Linked DNA regions of Lepisosteus oculatus. The protein of the gene in region 3 purifies or fractionates together with the protein of the main gene of each other region. This does not show direct contact. Links are inferred from orthologs where the notes say so. Each region holds a gene or a part of one and is shown on either strand. Other genes may lie near its edges. The genes, in order: fip1l1a, ube3d and cpsf3.

Region 1 (6,924 bases), on a different chromosome or scaffold from region 3:
CGTACTGAGGAGCCCCGGTCTTAATATCTCCAATCGTGACACGAACATCGTCGTCGTCGTCATCGCTGTCACTGTCGCTGTCATCGTCTTCGGCCGTGTCCTGGGACCACAGTGTGAATGAGCTCTTGAGAAGCGCCCAGGAGCAGTGGGCGGAGCTACGTGACACAAGGCCACTTTCTGGGCTGAGCGACAGCCCTCTAGTACAGAAAACAACCCCAGAACAACCATGTGGCGCCCGCCCATCGAGTACAGCCACAGGTGGAAAGAGAAAGTGAAAGGCAAACCCTAGCATGCTCAGTCTGTTTACTGAAAGACACGGGTCACCGGCATGACGATATTAATGCAGAATTTAATTTCACTGTTCATATCAGTACATCAATTTGCTATGCTTTCTTGCCAGCACTTTGTATTTGCTTCGGTCTGCTACTGCTCAGCATTAACAACGTGTATGATTGTAGGAGTCAGCTGTACACAGATCCTGCTTTCTCAGCACAGCGACAACCCACACGGTCTTGCTAAAGCACAATCCATGATCTCACAGTTAAACAAGAACAGCGCCTAATGACAATACGCGCAAAAGAACATTTTATGCTGCCTGACAGCTCAACATGTTGTGCTCGGGCCACCGCTACCCCTGGCAATGCCAGGGGAAGCCGAGCGACGGGAGTGTTACCTGCTTGGCTACTCCGTTTCCAGTGGCTTCCTCTTCTGCTGCGGGGGGAGGGAACGTGCTGTGAAAACAAGCCGACACGAGGGTTAGCAAACGCAAGGACAGAGCGCCGGGCGCACTGATCATCGCCAGCAGGGAGAGTGAAGACAGTGCCTCCTGCCACAGCAGCTCAGCCCCGCTGCCTAGATGCTAAATGAACCCCACAATCAGGCGGGAAGCGTTTTCTGCCCTCCATCGTTAAAATGTCATTGAGTTTTAACACTGCATGGCAGGAGCGGACTGTGAATTTCAATAATATGGGTTCAATGAGTCAACCCTCGATGGCTTCTCACTAACAGGACATGCACAACACAGATGAATGACTGCTCTGAAACACGTCAGTGCCCACGTCTAGCTCTGGAAGCTTTATTCCTCATTCCAGTGAGTGAAGCTGGTGTTGCATCTTATTTAATGGCGTTGATGTCCACTACTCTGATTTGCCTCGTGTTAAAAATTCATGGTCATTGGAAACCAGATATATTATTTAGTTCTAATGAATTCTTTTCAAATCACCACCATGCATTCCCTTGCACAAACTAATATCTACTGATTCCACTGCAGGATTTTAAAGAGGACTACCGTGCCTCTTCATGCTTTGCCTGAGATGATACACAATGTGTATGCGCTGGATAAGACAGTCGATCTGTTTAACGCAACAATGCCTCGCGATTATTTTATGTCTTGTCACCCTGTGACAAGAGCGAAAGGCAGAACTGCCTCGTTTCCAAAAACAACTGAGCTCTTTTTAGCACTTCCCTCCTTCTGAAAAGATCTAAACGCGATGAGGCGCCGGGTGCGTGTGATCGTGATGAACACAACAGGCAGGTGCGCTCCCCATGCGCAGGGCGTGCAGACACCAGAGCAGACTCGCTCACCTGGTCGCCGCCGCCGCCTTCGCCGCCGCCTCATCCTCCTCCTCCGGCTTGTTGTCGTTCTCATCTGTCAGGAGACACAACGTCATTCAGGCGAGAACATGCCCGTTACATCGGCTGCGAGCCTCACAACCGCGCAAGTGTCATCGCAAGACGACGGCAACACGGACACACACGCAAAAAAAACAACAAGAACAGATTCTGACAGCAAATAAAACGGCTGAGTGAAACACTCGAAAAGCATCGATCTGCACTGACCACGGAACGCACCGCCCAGCGATGCCTCTGTTTCCTGCAGCTAAGTAAGCGAAATGCATTAACAGAATGAAAAACTTAAAACGGCGTTAGTTTATTTTCTGAAATTATCACTTAGGTCTTAAGACTTCTAAATTTAAAAAAAAAACCTTGCTTTCAGAAAACTCGTTGGGAACTACTCTGGCCAGAAGAAGCACAGGCCGCGATCACACGCAAAACTCTCCAGCAACCTGCCGGGAACTCCTCACCGGCATCGGCACCAGTCTCCCAGGCCCAGGAAATCCTCCTCCCCACTGCCGTGTTCCCCAGAATTGTGACACACTAATGAAAGCCCTACCTCCGTAAAGCCATTCCTCCTCCTCGTCTCCCGCACTGGCATCAGTCACTGCCGTCTTCTCTGCCTCTTCCGTAGACATGTTGTTTCCAAACCTGCAAGATGTTTCATAAAAACACTCCTAACACAGCTTTGGGTGAATTTGACCGCTGAAGTTTCTTCCTTCGCACAGACAGCAGGGCTCCTGGAGAATTTAGTTAGACTCGGTGCCGTTTAACCCATTGGGAAATGCTGAACTCGCAGGGTAACAGCCCAACACGTTTCTACAACAATAGCCCTTTCGCCCCTCACCCGGAAGCAGACAGAACCCGCTCCTACTGACCCGGGAAGTGCTTCTCCATTGGTCCAGCACGTCGTTGGGCAACAGGTCCGACTTTCAGTCAGAACCGAGCATTAGCAGTTTCAAGCAAAAATAGTTACATCTGGCTTCCTCCCCCAATATTGTCTTATATATTGTCTTGTCTACTAACACCCAGACTACGCTACGGAGGGTTATGAGACAATATAAATTCATACTGTCTTAAATGTACAGAACTGAACACAGGCTAAGTACTTTTTACGTGTTAAGAACCACATCTGAGGCCTCTGTCCTCTTCACAAATATTGGTTAATAATACACTTTAAGCCCCAGTCTGAACTTTAGTGCTGTATTACCAACAGTGGGAAATACAGGCAGTCCCTTCAAGTTGTTCCGATTTATAGAAAAAAAGAGGGCGTGTCTTATGTTTAATATAAAAAGCTGAAGTTCTGAAAACTGGACATCCCTTACTGTATTGATTAGACGCGGATATAATTAAACAATTTAAAGAGCAGACATGTTCTTCTACCTACCTACATGCTATTCTTGAAAAACAGGCACCGCGTATGCGCTTTCCTCTTACGTAATATTTACGCGACGTGAAAATGCCACGTCACCTTTGAGAGACACATGCATGTGTATTGTCGAGCGACTGGGAAGATTGTAGTTCTCAGACATTACCTTTCTTTAAATCTCTATTCTTGTACCTTTTTCCTTAGAAGAAAACAATCAGAGCGTTTGTAAATAATGGCATCCTCACCGGGGCTGGTAACCTTTCCGAGACAGGCGTGGGATAGTGTGCTGTCAAAGGTAAAGAAAGCGGTTGTTTTCATGGATGACAGGTGTTGCGAGAGCCTGCACTGGTGTGGAGGGACCGAGATGCTGCTCGCAGCCGGAGCCTGTAACGTCAAGCAGTTCTCTAGCTTTGAAGCTGGCAGCGCGAACGAGCCCAAAGCCGTCTTTGTCGTGAGCACGCTGCTGAAGGGCAGGACAGCGGACACCATCAGGGACATCATCGGCCTCAGCTCCTTCCAGTACTGCGTCGTGTTCACCGCTGTCGCACACTCCGTACACCTCCAAGCCAGCAGCGCCAGCCCGGAGGCGGAGGGGCGTCCCGCTTTCGAGCAGTTCGAGGACAGGCTGTGCGAGTGGATGGGAGACATGAATTACACGGCGGAGGTGATGCACGCCCCGCTGGTGTTCGCCCCCGTGTCGCCTCACCTGCTGGTGGCCCCCGCCTGCGGGGGGCTGTTCCCCCTGCTGTCCCGGGACCTCGAGCTGATCAACAGGGCCCGCCCGGACAAGAAGAAGCTCGCCAGCCTCGCAGACGCTGACATGCACTCCCTGCCCCCGGAGCTGCGGGTTCAGATCCGGACCCTGGTATCCGGGCTCAGCTCCATGTTTGACTGTCTCAACACACGGGAGGAGTGCTTCGCGGTGGGCCCCACGAGTCGCCTGATAGCCGGGGAGCTTGCCAACCACCCTCAGGCGAAGAACAGGAGGAAAGCGGCCCCAAACAAAGCGTCGATAGTGTTCATTGACAGGACGCTCGATTTGGCAGGTAAGGCGCACCGACAGCACAAGCAGAAACGCCCCCAACACGCAGCAAATGCACACGCAGAAAAGCGCGCAGCAGGGAAAGATTGCTCTGAAATCCCTCGTCCAGACGCAGCCAGAGTCCAGCGCATCTGCTTTGAATGATGTGCTGCAGAAACAGCAAGGTAATGTCAGCTCCCCCTTCTGAGCCCTGCAGTCTATGAGGCACGCCGGGAGTCCGTAGTGCAGGAACGGTGTTATTCTTGTCTCGTGTTATTAAATGTCTGCCATTACTTACTTAACCTCTGTAGGCTAATGTTCAAAGAGAAGTATTGTGTGAACAAAGCACCCTAAAGTTTCCTGTAGATGAAAGAAGACCTCTTTGTTTCAGTCGCTGTCAACAAAGAAATGTGTTCCCTTCCACATGTACAAAATAATGTGAGGTCTGGCTCTTTTCACATTTACTTCTGTGACTGTTGAGTGGCTTCCAGAGTAATGAAAGCTCATGTCCATTCAGTCACTTACTAGATCAGGGGCCAGCAGGAGTTTCATGAAACAGGGACATTTCTGACACGGAGACTCTGAAACGCAAACCAGACCATGGCATCGAATAAAGAATCATGATAATGCCTGGAACTGCACACATATGGTGATGTTTTTACCGGGGCCAGAACCATTGCAATATTATTCAAGTTGCACACTAGCATAAAATACTGTGCTTCTTTTTTTATGACATTTTTTCAGATTGTTTTGGTTACCAGCGCTTTTGTAAGCACTGGAAGAGAAGGGTGTTTAGATTTGGCCCCTGTGGTCAAGTGGCATCATCATCATCATCTTGACATTGAGGTCTTGGATTTCTCATTCTGACAATGCTGATGTCTTTCAGCTTTCAGTTTTGTTGGAATGTTTCTAATTTCAAGACAATTAGTGTAGCCTTCAGTGAAAAAAGGAAAGCGCTTTTACAAATTGATTAAAAAAGTTACTGCTTTACACAAAGGGTTGTGGGAGTATGCAGCAAGTGTCCCAGCTGGTACCCTGGCTTCCTTCAAGACACGGCTGGCTGAGATCCTCGAATTGGGTCGAATTGCCTCCTCACTTACAGCCTTCCTCGTGCTCCTCGGAGCATGTTTCATCTGTGCCCTGATCTCTGATCATCGTGGGGGGGGGTCAGTCGACGGGGCGTTGTGGGGACCAGGATTGTGGTTCCTGATTTTGCGTTTGGCCTTATTCCAGGAGCCGTCGGGCACCATGGCGACAGTCTGGTGGAGAAGATCCTCTCGGCTCTGCCGGAGCTGCCGGGCCACCGGAACGACGTGCTGGTGGACATGCTGGAGCTGACGGCCCTGCAGGGGACCGCGGAGTCCCAGGGCATCATCGCACCAGGGTGCCTGGCGCAGCCAAAGTAAGGGCCTCTCCCCTCTCGGGGCCGTCGAGTGCGCTCGCCGCAGAGCCTGCATGAGTTTTTGAGCTTGAAAACGCGTCACGAAAAAGATCATATCCGGGGACCAACTAGCTGACTGTGATGTTTTGAAAAGCTCTATGGGTTTTTCAGTAACCTCATTGCCATCATTTTAATGAGACTTTGGTGTGGATAGTTTTTAAATGTAGTTCCTGAGTATTTTTCCTCAAGACGCTCTATAGAAGTCAGTTGAACTCTGTGGTCAAGTTAATTTCCATGGATTTAACATCCACGTGCAGGACTGCAGTGATGAGACCAAGACTTGTTTTCTTTTGGTCCTTCTTTCGTTCAGAAAGACATGATGCAACTTTTGTTTTTCCTTCAATGTGTCCCCGTGGGTTTGGCTTCTGCAGCATCTGAGCCAGGAAAAGGTGCCACTTTGGAGCAAAGGCTGGGCTCTTTTATCCGGAGATCGAGGTTCGAGTTTGACTTGAGTCATTTGCTGACTGGGACTGTGACACTCCAAACAGGGGTGCAGAGCTGCTCGAGAGTGAGTCCTGTAGCTTTCCAAAGTCTGTGCGAGCTTGCAGTGTTGTCTTTGCCATGGACACAGTCAGACACTCAGCTCTGGGCAGGAGTGCATGTTGCAGATACAGCATATGTGTTATCCTGGTCAATCTTGTGCTATAATAAGGGAGGTAGTAGCAAGTTCATGTGATTCCGAATGCAGAGGTAATAAACATGGCCAATTGAAATTATAAGAACAGGAATGAATGATCTTTAGTCACTCTTTCTCTTCTAGATGACATTTTCTGCCTGTTTCAGTCATCTCGCCCAATATGGATCGTTAAAATCCTCTTCCTTTCTGCTCCACTGCGCTGACCTTAAACATTTTCTGAACTAAAGCGAAATACAAGAACTTTCCCCTTTGAACTCTTTAACTGGTCATGGCAGTCCCTGTGAGCATGGTCGTGGTTTAGGTTAACTGTCGTCCGCTGTTGTATTGTCTTCGAGTGCGAAGCTCTGAAACTCCTGATGTTTATTTTCTCTAAGATGCCTGAGGCAGACAGGGCAGCGGAGCCCATCACTGCTGTGCTAGTTTGCTCAGTTTCTTTATTTTAACAACATGCAGTGCTTGTTGACTCATTTTTTCATATCCTACTTTCTTTTAAGAAAGCAGGAAATTTGACATCCCAATCACTTAGAATAAAAGCTTACATTTAATTAAACTTGCACCTTATAGCAGGAAATTGAAGTGGTAAATCTGCGCCAGTGCTTATGGTTTGGATTAATAATCATAATAATAACAGTGCCATTTTTTCATTCGACGTTTACCTTGGCTCACCAGAAAATCAGAAATCCCACGGAGATAGCTTGAAGTGTTCACGTTATAAAAACATATCTTCAGTTATTCCTTCATGTTTTGTTTATGATTTTGTCTGTTTTTATTGGAGTTAATTATGTTCACATTCTTGGAATAAGTTTTATTTTCTAAGCTTTCTTTTGTTTAAGGGAGTACAT
Region 2 (7,886 bases), about 19 Mb from region 3:
AACACACAGGGATCTCATCCTTTGATGTGATTAAGGCAGGAGTGAGACAGCTCTGTGATATGCTGGATACTGAAGGTACAGAAGGTGTAAAGTACATCAGATCACAAACGGCTTCCAAGCTGCAAAGGCCTTTAACATCATCTTTGGATCAGCACCCCTTACAAACGTTAGGAAGGAAATCCTCCATGTGCTTGCAAGAGTAAAAGAAGACTGATGTTATTACTGATCCAAGACAATGATACACAACTATCCAACTACAGGAGAGGGTGGATGGTGCTATACACATAACAATGTTAGGCCACAGCAACAGCCACAGGAAGCCAAAGAGCTTATGACATGCTGGACCACATTCAAATTACTCCCTTTATCACATCAGTTCAGCACTGGCTGTTTTTCAGCTCGACTGGTTTTAGGATGAATATCAAAAATACGCACCTGGCACTTTTCAAATAATGTGGTCCTTTACAGTATCAGCTCAGATTATCATCTCAGGCTCTCGGAAAGTTTTGGCTAGGACTAGGAAAGCAGGACTTACAATTAATGGAAAGATCATATGCTGGAAACATCTGAAGAGTAATACTTAGGTTACAGCTTTGACATCAACATTCCACTAGCACAGAGTCCACAAGGTTAATAACACTGGGGAACGCCTTCAAGCAGCCAGGAGAAAATCCTTTCTTGATTTGATAAATACCATTCATTCTAGTATCTACAAACTCTGAAGCAGCAGCAATGCTTGTTTGAACACTAGCAGCTGAGAATTAACGAGTGCAGCTGAAGAATCTGATTAGATGTGATCCTGTGCTATACAACATGACTTCACTCAGCCCTTTGGTATCTACTGTACGTGGACATGCCATGCGGATCTGGGGTACTGTCTGTGTGGAGTTGGTATTTTCAACCCATGTTTGCGTGGGTTTCCACCAGGTGCTCCATTTTCCCCTCAGAATCCACAGACGTACTGGTAGGGTTCAATGTTTTTTGGGAAAACTGGCCCTAGGTATAAGTGTGTGCAGTTATGTCTGCCCTGAAATGGACTGGTGCTCCATCCAGGGTGTTCCTCACCTTGAAAGCATTGCATGCCAAGCTCCAGCACCCCCGTGACCCTGAATTGGATGAAGCTGTTAAGGAAATGGATGGATAGAATGATAAATAAACCCACCTGGTTTCCAAAAAGTATAGGTGTCCCCAGCAGTACCACCGACATCAATGGATCCGGGGATGAAAAGGAGAAAGAAATTATACTCTTTTAAGAAGTGATGATTTAGTGAGGCTCTAAATATTAAGATACATACACATGCATATTTTTAAAACATGCAAAGAAACCAGATAAACATTAAATGCGTTCCAGAAAAAAAATCTCACACTGCCATCTGGTGGCAAAGAAAGGATCTGGACTCTTTACCTATATTATCCAGAGACGGTAATATAGGTATCCCCAGTAATTTTAATTACTAACCAAACAATAAATGATATTTTAGAACAGAGGAAATTATTGTTTATTTAAGTTGTATCTGAGTGGTTTTTTTTATAAATGAATTATGTATATGTAATTTTTGTCTTTCATAAATGTGTTTAATAGTTTCAGTGAATGCCCTCTTTGTCTTTTGACCCACTTCCTTAAGCACCTTGCAAGAAAATCGTGATTATCAACAGGTTGATAACGTTGCTTTCAAGTGCCATTTAGTATCATAAGGACTCAGGAGCATCATAATGTTTTCAGTGTTTCTGAAAAACATCTAACTCTTCAAACACCTAATTCTAAATGCAAAAAAATTACTTAAATTTCTTAAAGTTGATTTCTTATTTATTCACTTCATAATTCTTTTTTCTAATTTTTATGCTTATCACGTCCACTTTCACATAAGAGATAATAAGCACCACCACAAAAAGTATAAAAAGACATTCATATTTTCACACACAATGTCTTACCATACAAATCACAGCAATGGTTCCATTTCATTAATAGGAGCAAGACATGGACTATATGGACTAGTTGTAACATCATATACACCTTTTGTGAGACATGTCAGCAATTCCATCAAGTGGAGATTTACAGTGATGGGTCATAAGAGTTGTGACAAATTCAAAATTCATGAATAAGCAGTTTAAAGCCTTTTATATTTACATTTACACAACATTGCCAGACAGTTTGATATATAGTTTTCACATAATAGGGATTTGTAAGCACAAGCATATCATTGAAAAAGTCTCGTCACACTTAAAATGTCACGCGTGCTCTTTTAACAGATGGATCTAAGATGTGAATGAAGTTCTAACTTTGGAAACAAAAGTGAACATAAACATTTTCATAACTGTAACAATTATTTAACATGTCCTTCTTGTTTTCAACATTGAATTGGGGGTGTACCAGACTGACTTGTCTTTTTAACCACAAATACTGCCCAAAAACTTTTATGTTGACATACTTCTAGGTTATGAAGTTTCAGGATCTAGCAATTGTAGCCCCAATTTCTAAAAATAAATCTCACACTGATATTTTGCTTCGTTTCTGTTTGTCTCGGCTACTGACGATGCATGCATTCAAACACAAAGTAGCCAAACAAACGAATTAAATTGTCATTAACTTGTTTCATTATTCACTTGTTTAAAAAGTTTATCAATTGTGAAAGGATGCTAAATATAATCGTGAGTTTATTATCTGTTCTTATCTGAACTCTTATTTTCTTTTCATTTCTGATATTGCAAGTGTAAAGGTAACTAAAAATAGGCTGTATTCATTATATTTGAATCAAGTTAAAATCACCGAATATTAAAGAAAATCGAAACATCAAATGTAAAGTAATAGCTTTATCTGAAAACACGAGATGTAATACTTGAAACTGGAACCTAATTTATTACTTTCAATACAGCATGTAGCACACTAATAAAATATTGAAAAATGGATTAACCTTAAGACCAAAAGTCCGCTTTGCAGTCGTGTTCTCAACTCCAAAAAGAATCCACTCTGATTTTCTGTTTTATCCATTATTTATTTTGTTTTAATATGATGGTTTTTAAACAATCACAGTCTACCACAATCTTCACTTCACCGCACGTTTGGAATCATCAACAAACCCCTCATGAATCCGGAAGAAAATTGCCGCCAGGGTCAGAGGTTATGAAAGCCTAGAGCAAGCGGTAAAGAATTGTACAGCGACATCTGCGGTGAGTGTCTGTAACTGCTTCTCATGGCAGCAAACTGAAAAAAATCGATTTTGCTTCTTTATTGTAATTAAAATCTTTTTAAAGGAGAGGGAAAATAAAGTAAATTAATTCGAAGATATATATATATAATAAAAACACCACCTTTAAAATAACTTTATATACAATTTAAATCATATATACACAGAATTGACTGATTAAGAGTATAATTAAATATGGAGCAGGGTTCTCAAGCTCGATTCCTGTGTCAAGTTACACTGTTATATCATTGTCTTATATGTCCATCCATCAATTTTCTAACCTCTTCATCCCTTTCGGTGTCACGGTAGCCCGCAGCTATACTAGCAAGAAATGGACGCAGTCGATCATGGGTCACACAAAGACATGCACACACTCGCATCACACACCAATTTTCATAGAACCCAGTATACCTACTAATACGATCATGGAGAGGAAGTATAAACAGTGAATTAGTTAATTGCACCACCATTAACTATACATATTTACAGTTTTGAGAAAACTGAATTATATTGTTTTCTGCATGAATGGCTCCTAAAATGTGATCTGATCTTAGTCTAAGTCAGGATAATAAATACAGTCTTATTTACCAAACGACACAACATTTTACATTGCCATATCTTTATTGAACAAATGATTTAAACAATGTGTAGTAACTAGTGGAACCTTCTTTATTGGCAATAACCTCAACCAAAAGCTTTCTATAGCTGCTGATCAGGCCTGTGCAGCACTTAGGAGGTATTTTTGGCCCATTCCTCTATACAACACTGTTTTAGTTCATGTTTATTTTTGGGATGTCTTGCTTGAATGGCCTGCTTCAGATCACACCACAGCATTTAAATGGGATTGAGGTCAGGACTACAATTTGGCCATTCTAAAATACAAATTTCTTCTGTTTGAGCCACTCTGTTGTTGATTATGTCATTGTCATGTTGCATGACCCAACTTCTTTTGAGTTTTAGATCACAGACAGACACCCTGACATCCTGCTGTAGAATTTCCTGATACAACTTGGAATTCATTGGTCCCTCAATGATTGCAAGCTGTCCAGGCCCTGAGGCTGCAAAGCAGCCCCTCACCCTTATACTCTCTCCACCCTGCTTCATAGTTGGGATGAGGTTTTGGTGTTAATATGCACCAAACATAATACTGTGTACATTTACCAAAAAGAAAAACTTTTGTCTCATCTGTCCACAGAACATTGTTACAGTAGTGTTGTGGAACATCCAGGTGGTCTTAAGCAAACTTGAGACGGGCAGCAATGTTTTTTTTTTTGGAGAGCAGTGGTTTCCTCCATAATAACCTCCCATGAACACCACTCTTGTTCAGTGTTTTTCTTATGGTACACTCATGAACACAGAAATTATCAAGTGCAAGAGATGCCTGTAGATCCTTAGCCGTCACCCTAGGGTTCTTTGTCACTTGAAGATTATACGGCATGCCCTTGCACTAATCTTTGTAGGACTCCCACTCCTGGGGAGAGTACCAACAGTGGTGAATTTCTTCCAGTTGTAAACTATCTGCCCGACTGTGGACTGATGGAGGCCCAAGTCTTTAGAAATCCTTTTGTAACCCTTTCCAATCTTATGAGTTTTAACAACCCTTCTTCTGAGGTCCTCTGAAATCTCTTTCGATCTGGCCATGTTGCACTTCAACAAAATTCTGTCATAAAAAGCAAGTAACCCCTTGTGTGATTTTTTATATGGCAGGGCAAGTCAAACCCACACCTGAATCGATTGGAACACCTGACTCCAATTACCCTCTTTTCAAGATGTCATTATCCTAGAGATCCACCTACTTTTTCCATCAGTAGCCTTGATTGTTTAAACCATTGGTTCAATAAAGATATTACAATGTAAAATGTTGTGTGTAGCACCCTAAGAAGGCTCCACAGCTGAAACGTTGTGTTTTTCTTCTCTTTTCAGAATTGGAATAAACCTTTACTTGTTCCTTTGCATACTGACTATAGTTTCTAATCTAAATATAAACTTGTTTACAGACTAAAATAACCAAAATATTTCAAATGTATTTGCAGATCATATATTACGATGAGACTGCCAGCTTTCCTGTAAAGATACAGTAAATATTCGTTATTTAAGCTGCTTCACTTTACCACCAGATGGCATCCGGCTCACGCCACCTGCTGGCCGATCATGAAAGCAGCGGTTTCGATTTACGAAAAATAGAAACTAAAAGTGGAAAATTAAAAACAAAAGTTATGGGTGTGTGCGTCACATATAAATATGAATTAATTAACTGCTTGGTTGGAATATTTCTAAATAGTCTCGTGTGTGTTTTAGGTAAATGCAAGTTCAATTAACTAATATAAAACCTATAAATCCCGACTAATAAACTAATAAGAGTAACTGATCAGGTTGTCTTTTCGAAAGACATAAAGACACTGGGCCCCGCAGTGTATGATACGGATACCATATTACATTATTTGAAAAACACGAATTCATTGCAATTTAGACTTTTAGCAAGTGCTTTCAAGCAGTGTGAGAGAGTACAAGATCCCTTCAACTCTGAGTCTCCGAGGTTGGCAGACTCACCAACTGGAGTGGAGAGGGGGGACCAACTACTTCTCGTCATGCAGCACACAGCTTGTATACTATGTACAGTGTACATTTGGTGGAATATCATGTGAAGCATGATTTTCCATCTTGTATTTAAGTCCTAGCTTTTGTGATAGTGTTGCACTTCAGGAATGAAACGAAGTATCACTCTCTTTTAAATGAGGTTCACGCGGTTGGTTTAAAACGCAGCCTCGCTCGCGCCGATTGCTGGCCGTTAAGTAAATATGCAGTCGATCCACACATATTATTACCACCACCACCACCAATAATAATAATAATAATAATAATAATAATAATAATAATAATAATAATAATAATAATAATAATAATGGAACAGGTAAATTAAATTACTTAAATTTACAGTGATCCATTTATCACCATCGCTTTATTTAACTAGACCACTTATGGTAATACTTTAACAGGGAAGTCGCTATCAGTCTTCTTGTTACTTTGACAAACGCTGAGTGTTACATGTTCACAACTACAGTACTCGGATCGGTCGCGATCGGTGCGGAACCTTTCAGCAGGGGTGCGCGCAGAGTCGGGAGCCGTGAGTGCGGACCACGAGCCGCAGTGCTGTCTGGGAGCTGTCAGCTGGACTTGGGCTTTGTGTGTCATAGTCATAGATCTGCAGTCGGGGCAGAGAGGAAATCAGGGATGAGCTGCCCGGGCGTCCTGTGGCATGTTTACGACATTCTGCTGACCCGGAATGATGTAGGATACCCACACGTTTTACTGGATTACGTAGTTTCTTTTCTGCTCTAGTACCAGCGTTTTTCCGAGTGACAAGGGCCCTATATTTCTTGAATTGCTGTTATTCAGTGTTAAGTCCCTGCCCTAGCGTAGACAACCTTGTTTTTCTTTCATATATTTATTGGGTGGTTCATAACCTACAGACGGTAAGCACACTTTATATCGGCATACATATTTAAATGACGTTTTTTTGTACATCTTTTTAACTGAAACTGATTGTATGAGAGCACGACTTTTTTTTTAGACAAGATTGCTTCTTGGTGAAGATGCTGTGACATGACAGTTACAGATCTATTATGATGAAAAGATCCCTAAAATAAAGGCGACATCCATTTTTCTTGCGATCTGTAACTAAAATGTGTTAGTATATAAATCCAGCTGTTTCCGTTTTTAACACAAACACGTTTTCCTTTTAGCTATGGATGCCTTAATACAGAAAAGAGCATTCTTATTCATCTATAATAATCATATATTGACCATTTTGTGTCGCAGGCCGAATCGAAATACGAGTACCGTGCTTCTAGTTTATTGTCATCGACATCTGGTGATACAAATGCAGGAGTAAAAGCAAAGACTTCCTTCAAGTGCCGGAATCATTGAGTGGCTCTGTTACAGTGCTTTAGAATATTATGCTCAAAGCTTTGGTCCAGGAAAGAAGAATAGTAGGAATTCTTTATTTTCTTCGACAAATATATATATATAGTTATGCATTTGAGCATATATTTCATTTTAAAATATTTTTTTTTCTTGCGAAGTAGGATGCCCTTTGAATATGTATCACTGTTTGAACTGCAGTACTTTTACCACTACTGGTATTTCCACAGCTCTGTATGATACGCTTTTTCATGTGCTGTCATCCTCAATTCCTTTAAGGGAACATTGTTACCTGGACAGCTACATGCTAACGACTTCTTTGGCTTATGTACCAATGGGCACATCAGTCATTCTGAAAACTGAAACATGATTCATTGAACTCTGCAGTCTTTTGTCATTTATTGAAAATCGGCCCAAGACTTGTGTGTTGTACACCACAAATGCTGACGATAGGATTTGGAGAAATGCACCAATCCAAGTGCATAGGAAGTGATACTAATTTCAGTTCTCGGTGCTTTGGAGGAAAGTACTGATGTTTTGTTTTCAACGGTAGGAACTGTAATGATATACGTTCAAACATCCCTGAGTTAATGATGTTAAGTTAACACGTTCTTGTACAGGTGAATAGTCCCTTTGAACTTTAGGAATGTTCAAGACAGAAGTTAAGGAGCCCACAGTTATATGATGTATTGCCCCAAACAATAAGTAGCACATGAGAATGGAGACAAATAGGATTCACGTGCACATACATGAAGCAAATGTAGATTGTGACTTGAATAG
Region 3 (7,363 bases):
GGACATGACCTGGAGTACCTGGACCTGGGAGGTTTTGGGCAGCATAGTTGCCTGGGGAGTTCTCTGTGTGGATTTTGTATATTCTTCCTGTGTTTGTCCTCGTTTCTGACTGGTGCTTTGGTTTCCTCCCACAGTCCAAAGACAGTTATAATAATAAAAACTGGTAATAATAATACTAATACTTTACACTGATATAAGGCTTTTCTGGACACCCCACTCAAAGCGCTTTACAGGTAATGGGGACTCCCCTCCACCACCACCAGTGTGCAGCCCCACCTGGATGATGCGACGGCAGCCATAGTGCGCCAGAACACTCCCCACACACCAGCTCTCAGTGGGGAGGAGAGCAGAGTGACGAAGCCAGTTCATGGATGGGGATTATTAGGAGGCCATGACTGGTAAAGGCCAGGGGGAAATCTGGCCAGGACGCTGGGGTAACACCCCTACTCTTTTCGAGAAACAGCCTGGGATTTTCAATGCACACAGAGTCAGGACCTCGGTTTTACGTCTCATCTGAAGGACAGCACCTTTTTTACAGCAAAGTGTCCCCGTTACTATGTGGGAATATGTTTTTCTTTGATAAAATCTGTTGCAGTTGATTAATGAAAATATTCACTTTATTCAAGTACAGTTACAATATCAGAAGTATTACCATTATGCAAGATAATTAAATAATTAGCCCCACTAAATAACTGAGAGCTCGGATGGAATAAAAACCAAATGGCCCTTAGAGTATGATGTCTGCCCTAGTCAGTCTGTGGTCAAAGGCGCACTGTAGAAACTAGAAAAGGGCTCCTGGTCTGTCTCACTGTCTCTGCTATTGAGCACCAGGTGTAGACTGCCCAGCCTCTCTGGAAGGATTTGAAGGTTGTGGAGGGCTAGGAGCACCTGCACACAAACACAGTCTAAAAATGTGTCTCCGTTGAGAGCTCATATGTCTGCTAGGTTCTGCGAAAATGAACATCCTACTAGGGCTGCCAGACAGTAAATAAAGAATAAACCGACGCTGTCGGACGTAATGGTTTATCACACTGCTTCCAATTTAAAACTCATCCACTCACATTTGAGCACGAATCACCTGACAGCTGAAATACCTGCTTAACAGTCCCTAGGGAACACTCACAGCATTTTTTAGAAATGTAATAATAGTGTAGACTATTTTGAGTTTTTTTTCCTAATTCATCCTGACTCTTTGCAAAAAGTCGATTGTAACAGTCAACTGTTCACACCACCACTTGTCTTCCATTTAGAGGCAATACGCAAGACTTGTCCTGCCTCTCAATGAAAACAGCTCCTACTGCATGCGGATGCCGTTTGAATTTCCTGTTTCCTATGCTGGAATGTCTCTACATGTTCTTCAACCATTAACATACTGCCTATTACTGTCTCTGCAGGGGTTACAGCCACTACGACCCGACTGACAATCCTACAGCAGCTGTCTGTACGGTCTCCTGAGGCTTTGCGGTCTCCATCTGTCACTCTCCGGTTTCCTCTGCTCGGAGGTTTGACTCGTGTGAATTCGCTTAACATTTCTGAACTGCAAAGGCGTGAGGCCGAGTTTTTTTTCCTGTTGCATCTGACAGGCTTTTAAAACAGTCTTTGTGAGAGAGAAAAGAAAAAGAAGTTCGGGACAATGATATAGGTGCACTCATCTGTCTCGATCTTCCCGCTGAGCTTGCCGATACGAGAAAGAAAACTAGAACAAACGGTCCCAAACATCAAACTGAAGCACTTTAAGTAACAAGAGCCATACTGAGTGGGATGCAATTTTGTACAGCCTCACAATCGGGCTGACATAAATAATCCTACCGCTCTCCCTGCCAAGTCCACTTTCGCACAACTTGCCTACAATGTAACTTTGAAGCCAGCGCGGCGTGAGAAACGCACAGCAGGTGAATGACACACAGCGGGCATCTGAGAGTCGAGCTCACTGAGAATTTCAACCCACCGTCCTCAGATCGTTAATTAAAAAAACTCCCAGCTGAAGTAACGGAAACCCGTTGCCAGGCTAAACTCTCCACCCCACCCACAACCCCCTCATCGCATCCTCGTTTCATTGACATTTCTTTCCAATCACCTTTTAACCGCACAGCCCTTCACCGTAAATCAGAAAACTGGCAGGTCGGACTGATGAGATAATTCAAGCAGCTGTTCAACTCATACCTCGTTTTATACGTGTTTAACGAGCCCGTTCGCGACGGGGCTGGGCGTTATTTCGGCCAGGCTTGTAGTCTCCGGGTCTGTGTTTTTGGCGAGGCTCGGGCAGACACGTCACTTCCTTTGGGCTCCACCCACACCGCTTAAAGGAGACGCGACCCACACAACCCCCCCGGCGAACCGGGCCCGAATCGCGGGTCGTCACGGCGCTGTGTTTGTGTGGTGAAACCCCATTCCTATTCCCGGCGTCGTGTGGCGCAAACGCCAGACAGCAGGAAGTGTGTTTATGTCTCCATGGCGACGGTCACAATTGGAAGGGCGCGCTTCGTTGCTTGTTGTAAGACGGACGAGTCCAAACCCGAGGCTCTCAAATTGAAACTAAGAGCGCTTTATTCTTTGGCACGGCCGATGAATTACAGGGTGGACAGCGAGGCCGGAACAATTAGCACGGCATTTACAGTAGCTCCAGAGATGATGGCGTGAGGCGCAGGTCCTGATTCACGTCACTGTCTCTCAGTGCGTGTTCCCGCTACTACAAACTCGCGGGAATCGCGTCACACTTTAAATCACCGCTTTATCCAACTGAGGGTCGCGGGGCGTGTAGGGCGTAAGGCAGGGTACGACAGCAGAGCACATACGCTCACACCAGGGCTAATTTCCCCAGGAGCCAATTAACCTACTACTACGCTCTGCACAGACAGCACCCCAGGTCTGGGATCGAACCCAGGCCCGCTGGGTGGACGCTGTGAGAACATGCATACTCCCCCCAATAAGGTGACCCAGACCAGATCTAGCCCAGGGTCCAAACGTTTGTGAGGAAGCAACAGTGACCTTCATGGCCCATTCCTGCCCTGACTTTAACATCCCGCCTGCAAGTGATCACAATTAAACTGCTCCAGGTCTTCAGAATTCCCATCTACCCAGATTTTTGGATTACTTAATAGCTATCTGTAAAATCAACAACACAGAGCGCCTAATACCACTTTGAATTCAAGGAAATTGATTTGCAGCCTTTCCATTTTTTATTTTCTGGCGTTTAAACGGATAATGACAGATTCATAGTTTTAATTTTGTTTACAAATTGAAATTCGTTTAAGATAAGTTTAAGCTTCTACTATATGTTGTTGTCTGTGTGTATCAGCGTGTTATTGTTAGCAGGATTGAATACTGATATATTACCAACTAGTTGTCTAACATAAGAAAGATTACAAATGAGGGGAGATCATTCAGTCCATTTAGCTTGTTTGGTAGTTAGTAGCAACTTGATCTAGATTCCAGATGATTTAGTGTGTGGCTTCTACAACATGGCTGGGTAGTTTGTTCCAGACTCCCACAACTCTTTGCGTAAAGTTATGCCTCATGTTCTCAGTTTTAAATGCACCTCCATGTAGTTTCTACTTGTGTCCCCTGGTTCATGTTTCACTGCTCATTCTGAAGAAATCTGCTGGGTTGACTTTGTTGAAGCCTTCGAGAAGCTGGGATACTTGTATCAGGGCCTCTCAGAATTTCGTCCATTTAAGAATAAAAAGGTGCAGGTCTTTCAGTCTGTCAGTGTAGGACATTCCCAGAATGTATCGTGTTGGTCTTCTCTACAGCCAGCCATGTAACGGGAGCAGGGCAGGATACACCCTGGATGCGGAAATCCTAACCACTGCATCACCCTGCCACCCTGCAATTGCAGCTGAAATCTTTTCATTAAAACTGCTGATGCTTCACTGAAAGCTGGCTTATTGAAATTCTGTTCTTCGAGTTTTCAGAACACATCACGTTTAAGTATTAGTAGTACTTAAATAAAAAGGTTACTTTAACAGAGAGCGTTGAGTAAGGAGAGGACATATGTACATTTTGATGTGAATACACCCATCACCGTTGGATTCTATGTCCCAGATAGAAAAATATGTTTCAAGGAATATTTTGCGGTTTATTGAAATACTTAGTGATACTCGAAAAGTCTAAACTGTAGTAATGAAGAACTATACTCTCTAGAGTTTTTATGCAGTAGGTACACACAGACTCACTGCGTGTATTCCGTTAGTAACAATGATGTCGGAACCAAAGATCGATAGGGATAGTTTCAGTAGGGACGTATTTTGCACGCAGAACCGGAAGTTGTCCTGTTTCGCGCAAGTGATTATGAGGCAGAGTGGTGCTCCAAGTTTTTGCTGTTAACATTGTTTCATGACTTATGAAATAGAACTGGTTGTTTAATGGCTGCGAAGCGAAAAGCCGATATTTTGGTACCAGCGGAGGAAAGCGATCAGTTATTAATTAGACCCCTGTAAGTGTGCTGTGGTTTGCGTTTGTGGGTTACAGTGAACAGCCATGAGTGCCTGTGTAATGTGTCGCGGGAGATTCAGTAAGGAGCAGTGCACCGGTATAGAAAGTAGTATGTCCAGTTGTGTAAGAGTATTTCCCACGGAAACTATTAATTTGGTGCAGACGAACGCATACTACATTGTCGGCTACTCGAAATTATTTTTGTGTTGATTTTCATTTATGTATATTTTGTACGTAATACAACGTGTAATTGTATGTAATTGATTGATACAAGTTTTCTAAACATCACAAAGACCCTTATGTACTCTTGATGATTGGGAACAAAAACAGTTCGGATACATTTCATTATACATTGGGGGTTTATCTATACAGGAATCTCAACAGAGAGTTCTTAGGTCTCTTACAGTTTTATTCATTTATTTAGTAGTCTAAAATAAATGTAGACGCAAAGGAAACCAGACTGATGTTCACATCAGTAAAGTTCATTAGTCTTAGTATTATAAGGTATTTGCTTGGACCAGTACAACTCAGTTTTCTGTTGCATATGTGGTTCCAAAATCTATTTTCCAGATGTATATCATTTTAATAGTTTTAAAAAGACAGATTCTCAATAAATAGGGTGTGCAGACTTAACCAAGAGATTAAGAAAGCTTCATTTTACAATGTTTCTCTGGTGCAACAAATCCTAGGTTCCTTACTTAGATTTCTTGAAAAAGAGAACGCACGTTTGAACTTTGTGAACATTATCTATTGGGGGACTTTTAAAGCTGTTATTGTTTTTTTCATGCTAAGCTGCTTTTTACTTTTGAATTCCCTAAAATTGTTCGTTTTGTAAATGCGGTGCATTCTTTGAGTGTACATTGTGCAGGTTTGGAAATTGGAAAAAAAGGAAGGCTCTGCACTTGCTTCATGCAGTTCCTCCTCTCGAGTCTCGAATTAAAGAAGGGTGTTCTGTTTTTCATGGTCCCCTCAGTGGCGCCGGACAGGAAGTGGGAAGATCATGCATCATCTTGGAGTTCAAGGGAAGGAAGATCATGGTAGGACACTGCCTGCTCTGTCTCAGGCTCCCCCTGCGGGGTGGGGCAGACACTCGGTGTCACAGTTCTGTGGCGGGTGGGTGACACCTGGAGAAGAGGTGCCATGCGCTGTCTCTCTTTCCCCAGCTGGACTGTGGTATCCACCCAGGCCTGGAGGGCATGGACGCGCTCCCCTACATCGACTTGATAGACCCCGCGGAGATTGACCTCCTCCTGATCAGCCAGTTTGTACCACCAGCCGCTCCGGTCGCCCTCAGCCCTGGCCCCAGAGCACCCCTTTGTCTTTTAGCCAGTCCTTGCCTTCCTTTAATCGGTCAGGCTAATTCCTAGGAACAGCCACTTCCTGGGTTTCAAGCCCATTTCAGTTCCAGTGTCGAATGTAAACAGTTCAACTTGGGCAGAACACAGAGGTGCAAATATTGCACAGATATTTTCTCTTGTTTTATGGAAAGAGCAAAACTTGTTGGGATGGTCTGATACAGTGTTGTTCCCCTCAACACAGTGTTGTTGACACCTTGAATTAGGCATCTAATAATAAGGGCTTTTTAGATTTGCATAAACACTTAATAGGTTGCTGCCTCTGAATATGCAAGGGGAAGAGAGGGGACAGCACTCTGTCTGCTGTTTTTTTTTTGTAAAAGATCTGCAGAAGAGTATTTTTAAAACTGAAGAATGAGCATAGAAGAAGGTTAAAAAAGTCGGACCAAGCAAGAATTTCATTTACAGATGCCATCAGCGGGTCTTGGGTGGTTAAAGGCTTTGCTGAAGTGAAAACATGATAACACAGGGGAGCTCCAGGACAAGAACTGACAGTCATCCTTCTGCCCAAAGAGACGTGCCCTTATTGAATTAAGACGTGTGCCAGTTCGTTATTGAAACATGCATATTGTGTCTGGTAGTTTCCACCTGGATCACTGTGGCGCTTTGCCCTGGTTCCTGCAGAAGACCAGCTTTAAGGGGAGGACATTCATGACTCACGCCACAAAAGCCATTTACAGGTGGCTGCTGTCAGATTATGTTAAAGTCAGGTGGGTGATTGTTTTTGTTTTTCTTCTTATGACAGGAAACCTCAGCATATTACTGTATGTGGATTGAAAAACGTACAATGTGTTATCAGAGTTTATACCAATAATTCATTGTTAGACTTGGATGGATCCACGTGCGAGATATTGTTAGATGTAGTGTTAGATGTCTGTCATCCTTGTATATTTTTCCTTCATCTCGTTCATCCTGTATGTGACTTCTTTCCTTTCCTGCTATGCAGTAGGGTGACCAGAAAGCTGCTTTTCCAAAGTCAAAAATTGACCTTTTTGCCAAGATTGATGTTTATGTGCCACAGAAATATAAGATCAAAGGGAACATCTGCAAAAACAATGCAGTGTGACTTAATTACCTCAAGATCACTTCAAGTATCCTTTAAATGTCCGATTGCTGTTTCTGTTTAAACACTCCCTGCCTGTTCTCTTTGACCATAGCAACATTTCAGCGGATGACATGCTGTACACAGAGACAGATCTGGAGGAGAGCATGGACAAGATAGAGACGATCAACTTCCACGAAGTGAAGGAGGTCGCAGGCATCAAGTTCTGGTGCTACCACGCGGGCCATGTTCTGGGGGCGGCCATGTTCATGATTGAAATCGCTGGTGTGAAGGTGGGACTTTGCCCTACGCTACACTGCTCTTTAACTGGAGCTGTTCGGTGCGGACGAGATTGTATTTTTGCTCCTGAGCCCTAAACACAGAAAAGCTGTAGTTCTGCTAGAGTAGATATGTGTTTTTAAACATTAAGATATCCTGCATTTTTCTTCAGTCTAGTAATATGATAGACTTAGTTTTCTGTAATGTCGTGGAACTTTGTCTTTGGCCTTTGTTTGTTCTGTTAAGGCACTGG

What was found.
Region 1: the proteins of cpsf3 (region 3) and fip1l1a purify together in Homo sapiens (affinity purification with mass spectrometry; 5 studies listed by BioGRID and IntAct, with this or other methods). This does not show direct contact. The link is inferred for Lepisosteus oculatus from reciprocal best matches to the Homo sapiens genes CPSF3 and FIP1L1.
Region 2: the proteins of cpsf3 (region 3) and ube3d purify together in Homo sapiens (affinity purification with mass spectrometry; 4 studies listed by BioGRID and IntAct, counting the BioPlex papers as one, with this or other methods). This does not show direct contact. The link is inferred for Lepisosteus oculatus from reciprocal best matches to the Homo sapiens genes CPSF3 and UBE3D.

What each region holds. Positions count from the first base shown.
Region 1 is NC_090696.1:78,304,818-78,311,741, reverse strand, and holds the start of fip1l1a (pre-mRNA 3'-end-processing factor FIP1), read right to left. Parts: upstream 3,025-6,924; 5' UTR 3,008-3,024; coding exon 3,006-3,007; exon of another isoform or gene 3,002-3,005; intron 2,266-3,001; coding exon 2,174-2,265; intron 1,649-2,173; coding exon 1,585-1,648; intron 732-1,584; coding exon 674-731; intron 101-673; coding exon 1-100. Other genes in the region: scfd2 (sec1 family domain-containing protein 2), read left to right, coding at 3,216-4,029, 5,238-5,406.
Region 2 is NC_090697.1:31,281,874-31,289,759, forward strand, and holds the start of ube3d (E3 ubiquitin-protein ligase E3D), read right to left. Parts: upstream 3,078-7,886; 5' UTR 2,990-3,077; coding exon 2,913-2,989; intron 1-2,912. UniProt on the Homo sapiens protein: E3 ubiquitin-protein ligase which accepts ubiquitin from specific E2 ubiquitin-conjugating enzymes, and transfers it to substrates, generally promoting their degradation by the proteasome.
Region 3 is NC_090697.1:12,017,275-12,024,637, reverse strand, and holds the start of cpsf3 (cleavage and polyadenylation specificity factor subunit 3), read left to right. Parts: upstream 1-4,258; 5' UTR 4,259-4,364; coding exon 4,365-4,435; intron 4,436-5,407; coding exon 5,408-5,471; intron 5,472-5,597; coding exon 5,598-5,695; intron 5,696-6,370; coding exon 6,371-6,499; intron 6,500-6,946; coding exon 6,947-7,124; intron 7,125-7,363. UniProt on the Homo sapiens protein: Component of the cleavage and polyadenylation specificity factor (CPSF) complex that plays a key role in pre-mRNA 3'-end formation, recognizing the AAUAAA signal sequence and interacting with poly(A) polymerase and other factors to bring about cleavage and poly(A) addition.